Linked DNA regions of Lytechinus pictus. The protein of the gene in region 1 purifies or fractionates together with the protein of each later gene. This does not show direct contact. Links are inferred from orthologs where the notes say so. Each region holds a gene or a part of one and is shown on either strand. Other genes may lie near its edges.

Region 1 (7,213 bases):
CGAGAAATGTTATACTCAATCACACGTCCCAAATCAAGGGAAAGTCCTTTGATTAAACATGTAGTTGAATTGCGATTGCAACTCGACCTTATTATGCTTAAATTTGAATTTAAGACTTACGCTTGATTTGCAATTGAACATAAGTTTCTTGCAGTGCCCCATAATTATGTTTTGTTATCAGATATTTAACGTGCTGATTTTTCTCGAAAGGTATAATATATTTGTCCTTTTAAACGGTATTTGAATATGGGTACGCCTTTTATTTGTTTTCCACAATATTTATTGCATGTATGAACAGAAGTGAAATATTTATTGTGAAGCACTGTGAATGTTGTGTGATGGTTCATCATCAGACTGAAAGCCTGGTGGATGTGAGGAAGTGGCCTGGATGAAAGAAAAGTGAACATGTGTCCAATTACTGATTTGCATATTCTAAGACAATTTTGTTTCTGGATAAATTTTGCTATGCATTCCCTACATTAAGAGTAAAGGAGAAGTCCACGCAATCAAAAATTCATTTGAATTTAAAGAAAAATAACAAGATATTGCAGGAAATTTCATAAAAACTTTGATTCAAATTTATATAATTACTATTTTAACAGTTCCGTAAATATAACCTATTGTGATCAGATGAAGAGTTTCCTATCGTCAAATCTGCAAAGAATAAAAAACAAAATGCCACAAAAAATAGAAACGAATGTGATGTGAGTGACAACTCTAATTTGCATATCATTGTTTTGTGTATATGACTGTTTTGAGTAAAAACAACAAGGGAAATCACTCTATTCAAATAATTTTTAGTTGATGTGGACTTGACTTTTAACTCTACCCCTCCCATCCCAAATAAGAGTAGAAATAATCTAATCAAGAACTTGAAAATCAAAAGCAGCAATTAAGAAGCAAGATTTGATAAATACAGGTCTGAATAGAATTTCACAAGAAAATAAAAAGAGAAAAAAAAGATGGGTAGGGATGGGGAAGGAATAAAAAAAAAATACCCAGAAAAAAAAAAATCCGAGTTTCGAACCAGGGTCCTCGCACATGACAAAACAATGGCCAACGCATTTGGCCACAGACCATCGCCCTAACAGGAAGGCATTTTTAAGATATATGAAAGAAAGTCCGCTCGCCGCTGTTTCCTAATAATGCTTCGGCAATTCAACTGCAATTTCAGTCATTTCGCGATGGATATTGCCGTGTTTTTTTTGTGATTCCTGACTTTGCTACTTAATGAAATTTCATAATTTTTGTTCAGTCATAAAGAAGAATGTCTATGCTTTATATTGACTATAACATTAATGTGACGCAAGTGTGATTTCTACGTGAAAATATGCTTTGTTTATTCACCTATATTTCTTGAAAAAAAAAAAAAAATTCTAAGCTAAATATCGGTCACCAAAATACGTTAAATGTGCACTTTTTTTCACTGTTCAGTAAATTCAAACTTTTATCTATATAACAAGACCAATCTTAAGAGGAATAAACAATTCTAAGAGCAAAAAACGCTGATTGGAAAGATCGTCTCCAATGGGCTGCTGTCAGCTCAGCTGCTCACTGCTCATTGTGTGACGTCACTCAGCTGGAGCTCGCAAGAGGACCGGTGGAAGGCAGAAATATGGCATGAAAATAAATCATTTTTGAGAGCTGATTTCTGCAATCTCTGATCACTATTTTGAAAAGTGAAGTTATATATCTGATTAGTAATACTTCCCCTTTACAATGATGACCACATAAAGTCATTATAAAATACTTTTGATTCTTTGGATGTATACTTTAAGTGAGCTAACTTAGTCAATGTAAACATATCAAGTTTCATAACAAGATTATTGGAAGATGGCAAGTCGTGAAAAAAAGGAAGTGAACTGGGGGGAATTAAGGTCACTGAATCTATTTTTAGCACTCTCAATCCCCGAAACTGCCTACATGTATGTCCCGCAGGGGTAAGTGAAAAAAAAAACTGTCCCCATAAACAAGGACATGAAGGACAGTCTCAATTTATCAAGACATGATTTGTCTTGGAGGACTTGTTTATGAATATGAGGATATCATAATTGTTTTCTGAGCTGGGACAATCCTACACAGCTGGCAGCCGTCCGTTACGAGGAGTTTTTTAAACATTTTTATCATTTTTTTATTTCTCCTTGTACACAGACGGCTCGCTCTTGTGCAGCCACCATTAGGGGATTAACAATACAAAATCTCCCCGACGGGGCTCATCAATTTTTGTCTTTATTTCATAAAAATATATAAAAGAACTGTACCAAAATAAAGATTATTTTTCCATTTTAGCCTGAAATGCACCAAAACAGGAAAAATAAACTTAAAAGGGGAAAAACAGTGACTTCCCACTTCCAAACTCCCACTTCCCTGGTTGATCTGAACGTAACACATACATGTACATGTGTAAACTTATGGCCATTGAGTCCCTGTACAGATCGAGCTACAAGTTAAACTTCGGTCTCTGTATTTGGTGAGTGGAGCCAACAGAGTTCAGCGGAACAACCAACATAACAGAGACAGAAGCTTTTGGTCTAGGACAATCCCAATTTTTGGACCAGCACTTTCAGAATTTGTATCTGTCTGTGCACCCATGTACAAAACAAATATGAAGCCACTAAAGGAGGGGAGGAAAAACCATGTACTATATAGAAACCTATACCAAAAGAAACTTTGGCCGAAACTTTGAAGTTTTATGAATAAAATGATGTATTATTCAAGGGCATGCCTTGCCACGCATAGCAGCGCATTGCACTTAAAAAAAGGGATTACACAGTCCCATTCATTGCATTTTGTGTAAGTTATGAAAATCTACTTTTGCTGTCAGAAAAATCTGCACATTCTCGTCTTATCTCTGTCAATATTTGATTCAACTTAAGCACCATTCTTTTTCTTATTTCACAAGCTTTCCAATGTTACCAAATTTGTTGGGATTCCTTCAAGATTTCAAAATGTCTCTGTCTCCCCACTCAAACAAGCATTTAATTTTTTTTTTGACAGAACAAAATCTGCATATTTTCCCCTGTAAATTGGAATATCTCCCTCAATATATCAGACAATGAGTTGATGATAGAAGCACCATTATTTTTATTATTTCACAAGCTTTCCAACGGTATCAAATCTGTTGGGATTCCATCAAGATTTCAGAAAAAGTCACCGAACTCCCTACATCAAGTTCAACTTCTACCTCCACTGGCACTGTATTAAATTCTTCGCTATTTGAGCTATGCCTATGCCGCATTGTCATTGCCACAGCCTCACACTCATCATGCTCACTGTGGCCCTTGCCTTGGCAGTGGCATAATGCATGCAGCATGCACTCGTCGTCTCACTCACACTGCACTGCACTGTGTACATTAACGCATGTGCACAAATCACACTGCGTACATATTCAATGACAAAATGCACTGCCACTGGCACTGTCCACGACTGACGTCCGCCACCATCATCATGTTACACGTAAAAACATAAATAGCTCTTTATCTGATTAAATAGCAGTCTCATTTTCCTTGAAAAAATCGATATGTTCATTGTTTCATAATAATCGGAAAGTTTAATAGTGACATTTACTTACCAAAATAGTCAATGTTACACAGGGTTTATTCACAATCAGTCCCACATATTCAACCGTAAACATATCCTTCGCGGAAGCCATTAAACGAGAGTTACTTGAATTTATATTCTCTTTTAACATAAATTATTTTAAAGTAATTTTCAAAGATTCAATATTCATATAATAATATTTTTATATTATTTTTATTTATCAATAGTTGTAATTTGGGAGATGAATATTTTTTTACGGTAGTGAAGCACATTATTATGATATATATTTGAACCTCATATTCACACAAAATGGCAGCGTCCATGTGTGAGGCCAATAATTTTCAGTTTTGTGCCAAGCCCGGGGCCAAGTCAGACACTCTTTAGTTTTTCAGTGTTTGATTAATGCGTAGACTTTACTGATAATAAAGCATTGTATTCCCATAATATTCATTTGATTTACTTGCGTATGTCATGTATAGACTAACTTATTAGTCTAAGTTAATCCATCGAGCTAATCTGCAAGCTGCAGCTGTATCTCCGCCTCCGGTGATGATGGCCTCCACCTTGATCCGCCGGTCGGCCCCGTGTTTTCTCGGGAGGAAAACGCGAGTTTCCGGTCCGTGGTCTGCGGCGCCAACGTGGCCAGCGCCAGCGGGCGCGGATGTAACGTTAGGTGGCCATTCATCACGGGTTCACAGCAGCAGCAAACGGCTGATGGTGGACAGGGTATCAACTATTTCAAAGTTTCTACCCTTCAACAATGACATCATCGTGTGCAACAGACAATTGTTATGCAGAGCAAGAGGACTTAAATTTCTGGATCATTATTCCCAAGAATTTTCTTCAAGTTCAAATGAAAAGTCAGGAATAACTGAAAAGGAATTAAAAAGAGAAATTGACGATTTGACTGACAGATTTATGGAGACAAGAGAACTCTTGGAAGATGCTGTAAGTGTATTATGAACAGATACGGATCCAGAGTCAGAGTCACTTTTATTCATTGTCAGTCCAGGATGCGAATGTGCCTGAAAAATTTGACAAGCAAAAAGAAGGTTTTCAGTAAAACTGATGGACATGATTTCATCCCAAAAAACTTTCATGACTTATTTTAAAAGCAAAAAAGACAAATTTCATTAGATCTACTATGACACTTTTCCAATGGGGAACCTGTTGATCATAGTAAATAGTATGAACTGTTAATGAACAGATTTCCCATGGAAAAAAAAAGTGTAAAAAAGTTAGACCCTCTAAAAGTTAGAGACATTTTGATATATCTGTGGGAGACATGTCATGGTTGTGAATATAAGTTGGAATACATCCCTACCAAGTAACATATCTATTGATCAATAAAAGATTCAGATCTTATCTTTTGAAAAGTTTTTTTAACAAAACTGATAGTCAAGTGTGTTGGAGAATATGTTTACATCAATTTAAGGGAAAAGTAGCGTTTACTAATACTATCTTCATTAGATGTAAATATAGACTTGTTATTTGGTCCGTCCTTGTTTGTGTGAACTGATAACTGAAGGCATGTTTACATATACATGTACATCATATTTGAATCGCATTACAGTATCTTGGGATAGAACTTAGATGCATATTTTTTCTTAGTTGATTTTAATGTGTACATGTGTGTCTAGTTTTGTTTGTTCATCTATTTTTTACATTTCACCCCTCAGGTTGTACACATTCTGTAATCGTAAAGAGCTTGAAGATTGAAGTGTTGATCTTTCAATATGAAAAACAGATTTGTTATGTAGAATGTACTTCTTTTTGTGTGTATAATTTTCTATGGGGTGCTACTAATGTGATGAATTATGAAAGTTTCATTTATTTTAATTGCAGATGGAGGCCAAAGGCACAGTCTACTTCAATGATGATCTCAAAGATGCCAAGGAGGCTGTTCAAGAAACGCTGTCTCAGTTTGAGGATCTGATGGTGAAATTGAGCGAGGAGCAGGAGAGGAATGTGAGGAGAACCATTGGACTCAAGATGGAGGAGCTCCGAGCACAAGAGGCAATGATTGATGAGAGTATGAAAGATTGAATGTCAATTAGAATTTGTATTGGTTAATTTTGTTCAAGGAAAGTCAGATGTTTTCAAAGAATACATTACAAATTAATGATTGTTAATGTTAATATTTAACATGACCTGTATGTTAGGGTGTCATAACATCAAAGGAAGACTTATTAGTTTTTCCATTACCATTTTCTTATAGCTATGAGGCATTGGGCATCATTCCTCGCCATAGCTTTTATTTTAGAGTCTTATTATTACAGGATTTGGAATTGCTGCATCAAATATGCAATTTTTCCATAATGGCACTTGTATCGTCCCATTCAGCAGACAAAAATTGCAATTGTCTCGGCACCAGATAAATTTAGCTATATGTTATAAAGATACCTGAAGATGATAAAGCAATTTTGCAACAAACGCAGAACCCATGAAAACTATAATGTTCCGAAAATTTTGAATAAATTTTAATTGCTCTATATTGTTAATGCATTTACTTGGGGGAATTTCTTCCCAGCTGAGATAAAGCACTCCATTGTGAAGTTATCATATATTCAGATCCCCTATTCAGGGTTAAACAACTTTACCGTTGCTTGTCCATTTATTATCAGTCTATTGTGTTTACTATTTGCTTACCTCTTTAAATCCAATTCACTCATCAGCCTCAGTTTCATGTTAGGCTATATTGCACTTTGCAGAGTTGATACAAATGCTTAGAATTTAATAATTATATATTTTCTTGTAGTAAAAGAAAAAAACATCTTACAAAAAAGCATTCACAACACCAACAGAATAGGTATTTCACAAATGTTACCGGTATTTGTAATTTTTGCTAGTGTGCTGATAGTGAAACCTTGTGTGCCCCTTTTCTTTTTTATTTATTCAGCCAACACAACAGGGTCTTGTTGAATTCTTTCTACCGCACAAAGTATACTCCAAGATTATGTTTTGTTATATAAATATTACTTTTCTGAGAGGAAGGGCTATTTTAAAGTGCTGTGTGTTTTGCAGATTGATATCTTACTTTTAGCCTGACAGAATTGGAGATTTGTTTGGACACAGTTCATTCTTTGTATCATTGATTTGGTATGTTGTATTGGAATGGATTCCCCCTTATGATCAATTGCTTTTTTTTTACCTGAATATTAAAAGTTCTCTTCCAATCATGAAGCCAAAGTTTTGCATGTCTTATGATCTGAGAGGTATCAAGGTGCCTGCAAAGTTTCCTTGGTAATGTTATTAGTATCAGACAATCTAGCAAAGAAACAGTGAAAACATTTAAGAAATCATAAAAGATGTATGGAATTATGTAATCATGCTAATTAAATTGAATGTGTTTGATTGTTGGTAAAAAGTAAATCTGGCAAGTGTTTGACAGATTACTTGGATATAACATGCTTCATGATACATGTGACACCATGTGCAAGTTAACTATATTTGTGAAACACATGTATGAAGTACTTTATGAATATAAATGAGAAATGTTGTATGAACATTGTATTTTGAACATTAAACTATACTAAACTTGATAAAAAGTATTTTTAAAAGAGCTTACTCTGTGATTTGTCTTTGTCTTTCCCTTGTTGCCCCTATTCAATGTGTTGATTACTATGGTAGTTCTTAATAGTTGAAGGGTTCCATTCTCTATCTCTCTATTGTC
Region 2 (7,795 bases), on another chromosome or scaffold:
TACTACAGCTATAAATCATGTTCCATATTACATTTTTTAAACCCAGTATTGTCATTTTGAAAAATTTATCATCATTTCCCTTCTTATTTAAATATTGCAAGACTACATCATTTCAGGTCTGTATAGATGACATGTCCGTTTAAAAATTCTCATCAGAGCCTTTTCAACATACTTTTCAGGATGCTGGTGTCGTACTTGGTCTTTAAGAGGATTATGCGTCTTCATACAAAGGTCAACTTTGTGTGACCTCTCAAATTATGCCAAAATGTACAGATTTGTTTGCATGTTGGTGTCGTGCATAACCAACTTTGTATGGAAGAGATAAGGAGAGGTTCATTGGATCAGTGAAAGATACCGGTGAATCAAATGAATTGACATGATTTGGAAAAAAACTATATTATTTATTTTTGCACATGATGATCCATGTTTAATCTTTGTGGAGGCATTTTTCAAAGCAAGCATGCTGTATATATGACAAGGTGTGATATTTTCAGTCTCTGCGTACAATTAGTTTACTATTGGCAAATCAAATTATTTGTTGATTAAAGACATACTTGTACATTTGTTATCTAAACTACTGCAAGCTTTAATTGACCAAGGTGTTAGAATTTTTTATACATTATGTGAAATAAGGATTTTTCACTTTTTATTTGTCTCTTAATCAACTAGTAGCATGATATTTTTATAGAGCATTATGATAGTTTGTACATCATGGACAGTTTTGAAATTTGTATTGAAGCCATGAACAGTAACTGGAATGTTTAAATTGCAAAGATTATTTCCGTCTTCCTATTTTGTAGTAACAGATCAAATCCAAATTAATTTTGATAAATATATTTCATGAAATCAAAGTACTGTTAAGCATCTTCGAGAAACTTCATTTCTATTTCAGTATATTGTCTTCTAGCTCCAAGGTAGCTAGATACTATGTTGTATAGTAAGTTCCGCAAGAAGGTTGTAAGTGCTATTACTATAATGACTTGGTACATTTTGTGGACTAGTTCAGTGAATTTGAATTTTTACGATGAATATGAGAATTTCTGTTTTTCACAATCAGGAAAATTGACCTGTTTTGGCTAGCTTTTGCTTGTGAGGCTGCAATCTTCATGACACCTTTGTTGTAGATGACTGCAAAATTGCCGATGTCAATTTAACACTAGCTCGGAATCTATTAGGTCCACACCAGTTTGGAATCAAACCGATGCTGTTTTGATAATTGGTGTTGTATAAACATGTCTGGTGTTAGACCAAAACCAAACTGGTGTTTAACACTTCTCTGGTGTGGACATACATAGATTCCGGGCTGGTGGTAAATCAACACCAGAGTTTTTTCAGTGTAGCATAGTTTCAGATGCAGCATGATAAAGTGTTGAGATGATGCTTGAAACATCGCAAGCAAAAGTTTGCCAAATGAGGTAAAAGCCATGCGATTAAAAAAAAGGTTTTTTTCTTTATCATCAACTTATCAGATGGCATGTCTTCTGTGATGTCATGAATATTTTTTATTTTGAAGAATAAAAAAATGGATTCTGAATTTTAATTGAATGTTACTTCAAACCTCATCTTCTTTTAAACCATGAAATATATCTTCCTGTAAATATTATTCTGAATAGTGGGCTACTTCATGCCAGTAATGTACATAACTTAGCATGTTTTCAAATTTCCATTAATTGATTTCATGACACACATTGTACTTTATATTGATTTTTTCTGGCTTCGAAGTGATATTCATCTTATTTTAACCCACCTTTGTATAGTAGTGAAAAAGCATTTTGAATGTATTTATTTTGTTGTGTTTACACTGAAACATTTTTATTGTTGTCTGTGTCGTGGAAACAAGGCTTTATCACTATCATTGTTATATATATTATATATATTAAAACTTAACTTTTCAATAGCGGTGTGATGTATGTGATCCAATGCTATGCAACTTTCAAAAAGAGATCAGGATAAAGGTCTGATTTCAACGTTGTACCCTTGTGAATGTTGTTCTTTCCCCTCTTCCTTTGTAAAATACTTCTTGTCGTGAAAATTTAGAAAAGCAATATATTGTAGTGCACATATACATATATAGATATATCTTATGTTAACTGTGTTTAGCAAGAATTTGGAAATGACATGGAAAATTCTCCGGCGTTTTTCAGCCTAAGGTGATATCATTTTCTTTCCCCATTTTCTAATCAGAAGTAGCTTTAGAATGGTTATAAGATTTTAGAGAGGAAGTGTAAAAAGAAAAAAAAATGATAACGTGGTGGTTTGAATATTATTATTATAGCATGCCTCATTCAGAGGGAATGATTTATGAGTTTAACCAATAACAAGCATCATAAAAATAATTCTATTCTTGTATATTTCCCTTTCGTATTATTGCATAAAGTTCTTCGATAAAGGGGGATTTCGAATAATTTGGTGGAAGCAAGTAGCGATGTACGAGATTGTAATAATAAAGTCATCTTAGCTTTTTCATGAAAAAAAAATGGAGAAAGTTTTGTTTTTTGCTTTGATGTTTATTGAAAAGTTTGAGTGAGGGGGAGAGAGAGAAAGAGAGGGGTGAGAGACAGTGGGGGTGTTCCGTATGTTTTCTTCCAGTTTAAAGTCGCTGAAAATAAAGGGGAATGGGCAAGGGCAATGAGAGGGAGGGAGAGAAGGGTGTAAATAAGTGAAAGAGAGAGAGAGAGAGAGTAACAGTGAGGAGTAGCATTGAGATGAATTGGATGGAGGGGTGGAGCAGAATTTAAAGAATGAGAAGAGGAAAAGGGGAGAGAGATAGAAAGAAGAGCAATATTCTGGTTTCCAGTTTTAAAGTTGTTGAAAAGGAAGGGGAAGTGGGCGGATGCCCAGAGAAAGAGAAAAAGAAGAGAGATGAAAGTATGTTGGAAACGATCGTAAAGTGTTCAAGTGGAGTGATAGAGCAACAGCAAAAGTTGAATAGTGAAGAAAGGAAAAAGCAGAGGGAGAGAGAACAGTCATATTTCCCATTTAGATTTGAAGAGAGGAGGGAAAATAAGCGAAGGCAGTGAGAGAAAGAGATGACGAGAGTGCCATGGAGGTCACGATGGAGGTATTGGTTACGTGTTCGAATGAACGGATGGGGCACATATTTGATGAAGGGGAGAGAGAGGGAGAGAGCAAAGGAGATTTCCAAAGGAGGAAGGGAGAGAGTGAATAGGGGATGGTAGAATGGAAATGGGATGGAAGAGGACAGTGCGGGGAGGGAGAGGGAGCACAGCCTGGAGAGAAGATCGAAGAGGAGAGGGAATTTGACAGAGAGGGGGGGGGGGGGCTATAGGGGTGGAGCTGCATGGGGGGAGGGAAAGAAAACGGGGGAAAGAGGGCCGGGAGAAAAGTAACACAAAACGGAAAAGGTGAAAATAAAAGGATATGGGAATGAACAAAGAACTTGAAAGGCAATCGATAGAAAGGATAAGGAAAAAAATATCGGGAGAGAAAAAAAAAACTTTGAAACTTCTTCATCACCCAAGAGTGACCAGAATTAATGAGAATGACTTCTAAGAATACAACATTTATATGTTTTTTATTGCTCCTCTAATGTATAGAAGGCACAGCTATTCACATTCAGCTCATTAGAGTGGTGGATCAGGGGGGGGGGGGTAGTCTGCTGATCCATCACAGGGGCAGCGGGAACGGGGGGGGGGGGTAGCTGGGGGGGGGGGGGCTTCAGCCTCCCCCACTTTTTTCCAAAACCGTGTACAAAAACGTAAAAATTACCATATGATTGTGATTTTTTGCATGGTCAGCCCCCCACTTTTGGCTCAGCCCCCCCCCCCCCACTTTAAAAACCGTTCCGCGGCCCCTGTATCAATGTAATGAATGAAAGTTTTAAAAAAATTGGACATTAATTTTTAATTACAATGGTGTTATTTATTTTCATTACTTTTCACAATTCAAGAGCCCATCAAAGGTGAAAACAGTTTTCTGCCCCCTTTATGGCAATGAATCCCGTTACGGCGCCGCCACCCCCCCCCCTCTTCTGCTAAAATAAACCATTTTTTTTGGGGGGGGGGGTGTTCTATAGAGAAGACCTATATTTCTTAAAAAGATCGAGACAAGAAATTCTTGGCTCGGCCGCTCCACTTACTCGCATATGGAAAGGTTTATGAGCAGTCATATCAACTCTTGAATTCCAGCCAGAGGTTCTAGCCCCTCTCTCGATACTTCATTGACAAAACAATTTGAAATTACGTGCAGCTATTTCACACCCTTTTCTTGCCAACATGGCCAAGGTGAGTTGACAAGAGCAGTTAATAAGGCTAAAAAAAAAGGGGGGGATGACGTATCCTATGTATATCAGACAATATTGATTAAAGGTGCTCGAAATTAAAAATGAAAATGTGTTTTTACAAAAAGAAAATGTTTAATTGATAGGCCTACAATCAATTGATAACAATTTGTTCTAATGTATTTCCTAATCATTCTTTTTTTTCATGTTTGCAAATTAGGACTTTATTACTATTATTACTATTTTTTTTTTTTTTTGGGGGGGGGGGTTCATTTCTATGACTGGATGATTGGTTTTTTTTTCTTTCAGCATTAATTTGACTTGCGCCATCTGCGGTAGCGAAACAAAAGGTGAAGAAAATAAAACTTCTTTACAGTTTTTGTCACTCGAATAAAATCTGGATTACAGTGATTATTCCACCCTTTTTTAGAACTGGAAACTTTCAACGTGCAAAACTCACCTACAGGTATCCAAAATAAGTTTAAGTAATGATTTTTTTGTAGAAAAACTGAAATAAAGTGGGGATTTCGATAGTGTGGGTTATGCATGTTTCTGCGTGGAAGGATAGAGACCATATTGTGCAGTTATTGTATGGGTAGCCGCTTTCGTGGAGTGTCGCATGGGATGCGTATTAAAAAAAGGCTCTCGACTGAGTCGACTCGTTCACGTTCGGACCTAGACAGGAATAACCGTCGTTTCTGGGGATTTATTCAACAATTTCTGACATTTTACTGTAATCCCCATTTACCGACGGTAGGGTGTACGTGTGGGCTCGCATGTGTTCTCATTCCCTCCCTTTTGTCAATTCACAGTCCAAAGTTTGATGTAATTTTACACATCGAATTTACAATCTAAGTAAGGATGTATAAACAACAAACTTTTAATTATTTATATTCCAACATTTAAATACTTTAAACGATATAGATGAAAAAGGCATGAAAAATATACTTTACCGATGTTTAATTGGGTTGAACACGATAAAAATGGTCAAAATGGCAGCCAAACTATAAAATATTTACAAACGAACGTCAACAATCACGAATGTGATATCGATATTGCTTTCGATATTATACGATCTGCTCCATATGCGAACGAAACCGAAGATAAACGATACTAGTTATACTAGTACTAGTACTAGTTATAATCGCGATATATCGATTCGAGACATTAAGTTAATAACGATAATGACGTCATTCAAGATGGCAACTTGCAAGAAAAACCGTCAGGTCAGGTGAAAATGTCTTAGATGACAGATTTCTCAATCATCCAGAGGATTTTTTTCAATAACTCCGGCCCAAGGTATGCAATTACTTAATTTATTTATATTTCCCTGATAATGGAAACCATGAAACTTTCAATTTTGCTTAAAAAACAGTTTTAAATCGCGATCTATAAAACGCTAGTTCACTATACGTTGGCTGTAGGTACGGGGCCCCATCCCCTTCAGTCTATGTATGGTGAGTGGAGCCAACGTAGTTCAGCGGAACAACCAAAATACAGAGACTGAAGCTTTTGGTCTAGTTCGGACCACTCACACAAGCATGCGAGGTTAGTTGTACTGTAGGATGGGGGGTCGGGTGTCCGGACACTTTATATTTTTGAAGCCTTCTTTTTTTGTCTTTGGATTACACTAAAAATATGAATTCAATACTTGTAATCATCTTCTATTGTGTTCTTTATATAATATTTCCTAACATTTTGTACTAAAATAAAAATTAATGAAACTTCGCTTTCAAATTTTTCCAAATGACTTTCTAAAATTGATCGTCCGGACACACAACCTGTCCGGACACACAACAACTGGGTATACTAACCTCGCACAACGCATGTCATTTCATAATGAATTTTGACGTTTTCATTCATCACACGAATGTGAGAGAATGATGAAACACGCCAAAATCTTCACTGTTCACAATATACTAAAAAAGTCTAAATTTATTCATCTAGGCCTAGGCCCAAATTTAATTTTAAAAATATGCTCGAACGTAAAGGGATTTTAAACGCTCACCTCCAAATCTCAGCCAAGATACTCCGTCCGATCCTTAATACTGCGGTGGAAATTACGCAAACAACAATCGAAATGCGAATTTTTCCTATCGAACAGTCTACTTTTAGATTCAAGTCGTCGGCGCATTAATAGGAAATTGTACCAAAAAAATCAACAGGTTACATCTCAGTTTTCAAGTATAATCGCTGATGGCGCTACATCATAAAATAACGCTGAACAGCGGAAAAAAATGCGGAGCGCCTAGAACGCAACCAGCAGTACAGCTGATCTGACGTAAACAAGCAAGTTCATTAAATAATATCGCGCGCCCTCTGTGCGTATAGAGAAAACCAGCGAATTAGGCTATTAGCTCCATGCCTGCTTCGAGTTCGACATCAAGAAAAATCATCGATATAAAGTACCAGAAAGACAGAGAGGAAATTAGATTGGCTTCATATCGTTTGGTAAGTTTCATATCCAAAGCTTACTTGATTTAACATGTAGTCTTGTAGATCTATTTCTAATTTTTACAAAAGAGGAATAAACTTATTGCAAGTGCCGTGCCAGTGGTTATCCTGTGCACGGCGGCGGTAATGTACCCGTGGTTGGTTCGGACTAGCCAGGAGGCTTCTTTTCTAGAGAATAAAAATCATTTACTAACGTATGCTTACTCTCCATGGAGCCAGGGATTACGTCCTATTCATGTGCGTGTACCGCGAAAAAATCTGAAACTTTCGCCCCAGAGTCGGAGATCAGATTTCTACTTTCTGTTCTATCAAGTATCAAATTATGTAAACGGAATACAACTTCTTTTCTGACATTTCTACGAAATTGATTTCACTTTTAAACAAGAAATCATTAAAAAATTGAGAAAATGTGAAAAGACAGAGACTTGCTCGATGTTTACACCCCCATCTTGTTTCTTATTGTTCTTTGCCAACGTTATAGACGCTACTTGTAGTTGTAATATGGTTATTGTTGGTCAATTTTTTAATTTTAACATTCTATCATTTTTAAAGCATAGTAAATGAATTTCCAAGCTCAATAAAAATCTCAATATTCATTTTGGTCGGCTTATTGTTGGTTTTGGGGTTGCAGGTCACAAATAATGTAGCTATCACAGCCGGTTCGAGATTACGACACTCGTATCTGTCACTGTGATAAATTGGGGAGATCAGTTACATAATATTGACAAAAACTCGTACTTTAAAAAAAATAAAAAAGGTATTTAAGGGAAATAAGTTTTATGGTATACAAAATAATTACATTTAAAACTTGCATCATGTACTTTGAGGTCCATAATAATCCATTTTACAGAGACGATCTTGTCACTCGTACATCCCCAAAAAAGTCGCCATCTTGAAAAGATCAAGTTTTGCGGGATCTGACTTCCGGGGTTTCTTTTCTCTCTCATATCGTCGCTATTCGATGAAACATCAAATTTCTTTCTTTGCGAGCATGATTTCGAATTTCGAAAAGTTCTTTTGATGCTGGAAATATGAAACGGGTGAGCAAAATTGTGTTTTTTAAGTGATTTTTTGTTTGCATAATTCATGAATATTATCAAT

The links.
Region 2: the proteins of ubiquitin carboxyl-terminal hydrolase 36-like (region 1) and ATP-dependent RNA helicase DHX33-like purify together in Homo sapiens (affinity purification with mass spectrometry; 5 studies listed by BioGRID and IntAct, counting the BioPlex papers as one, with this or other methods). This does not show direct contact. The link is inferred for Lytechinus pictus from reciprocal best matches to the Homo sapiens genes USP36 and DHX33.

The regions. Positions count from the first base shown.
Region 1 is NC_087254.1:19,789,750-19,796,962, reverse strand, and holds the start of ubiquitin carboxyl-terminal hydrolase 36-like, read right to left. Parts: upstream 3,188-7,213; 5' UTR 3,169-3,187; coding exon 3,167-3,168; intron 1-3,166. Other genes in the region: uncharacterized protein LOC129269948, read left to right, coding at 4,090-4,488, 5,386-5,586. UniProt on the Homo sapiens protein: Deubiquitinase essential for the regulation of nucleolar structure and function. Required for cell and organism viability.
Region 2 is NC_087260.1:18,910,496-18,918,290, forward strand, and holds the start of ATP-dependent RNA helicase DHX33-like, read left to right. Parts: upstream 1-4,558; 5' UTR 4,559-4,706; intron 4,707-7,795. UniProt on the Homo sapiens protein: Implicated in nucleolar organization, ribosome biogenesis, protein synthesis and cytoplasmic dsRNA sensing. Stimulates RNA polymerase I transcription of the 47S precursor rRNA.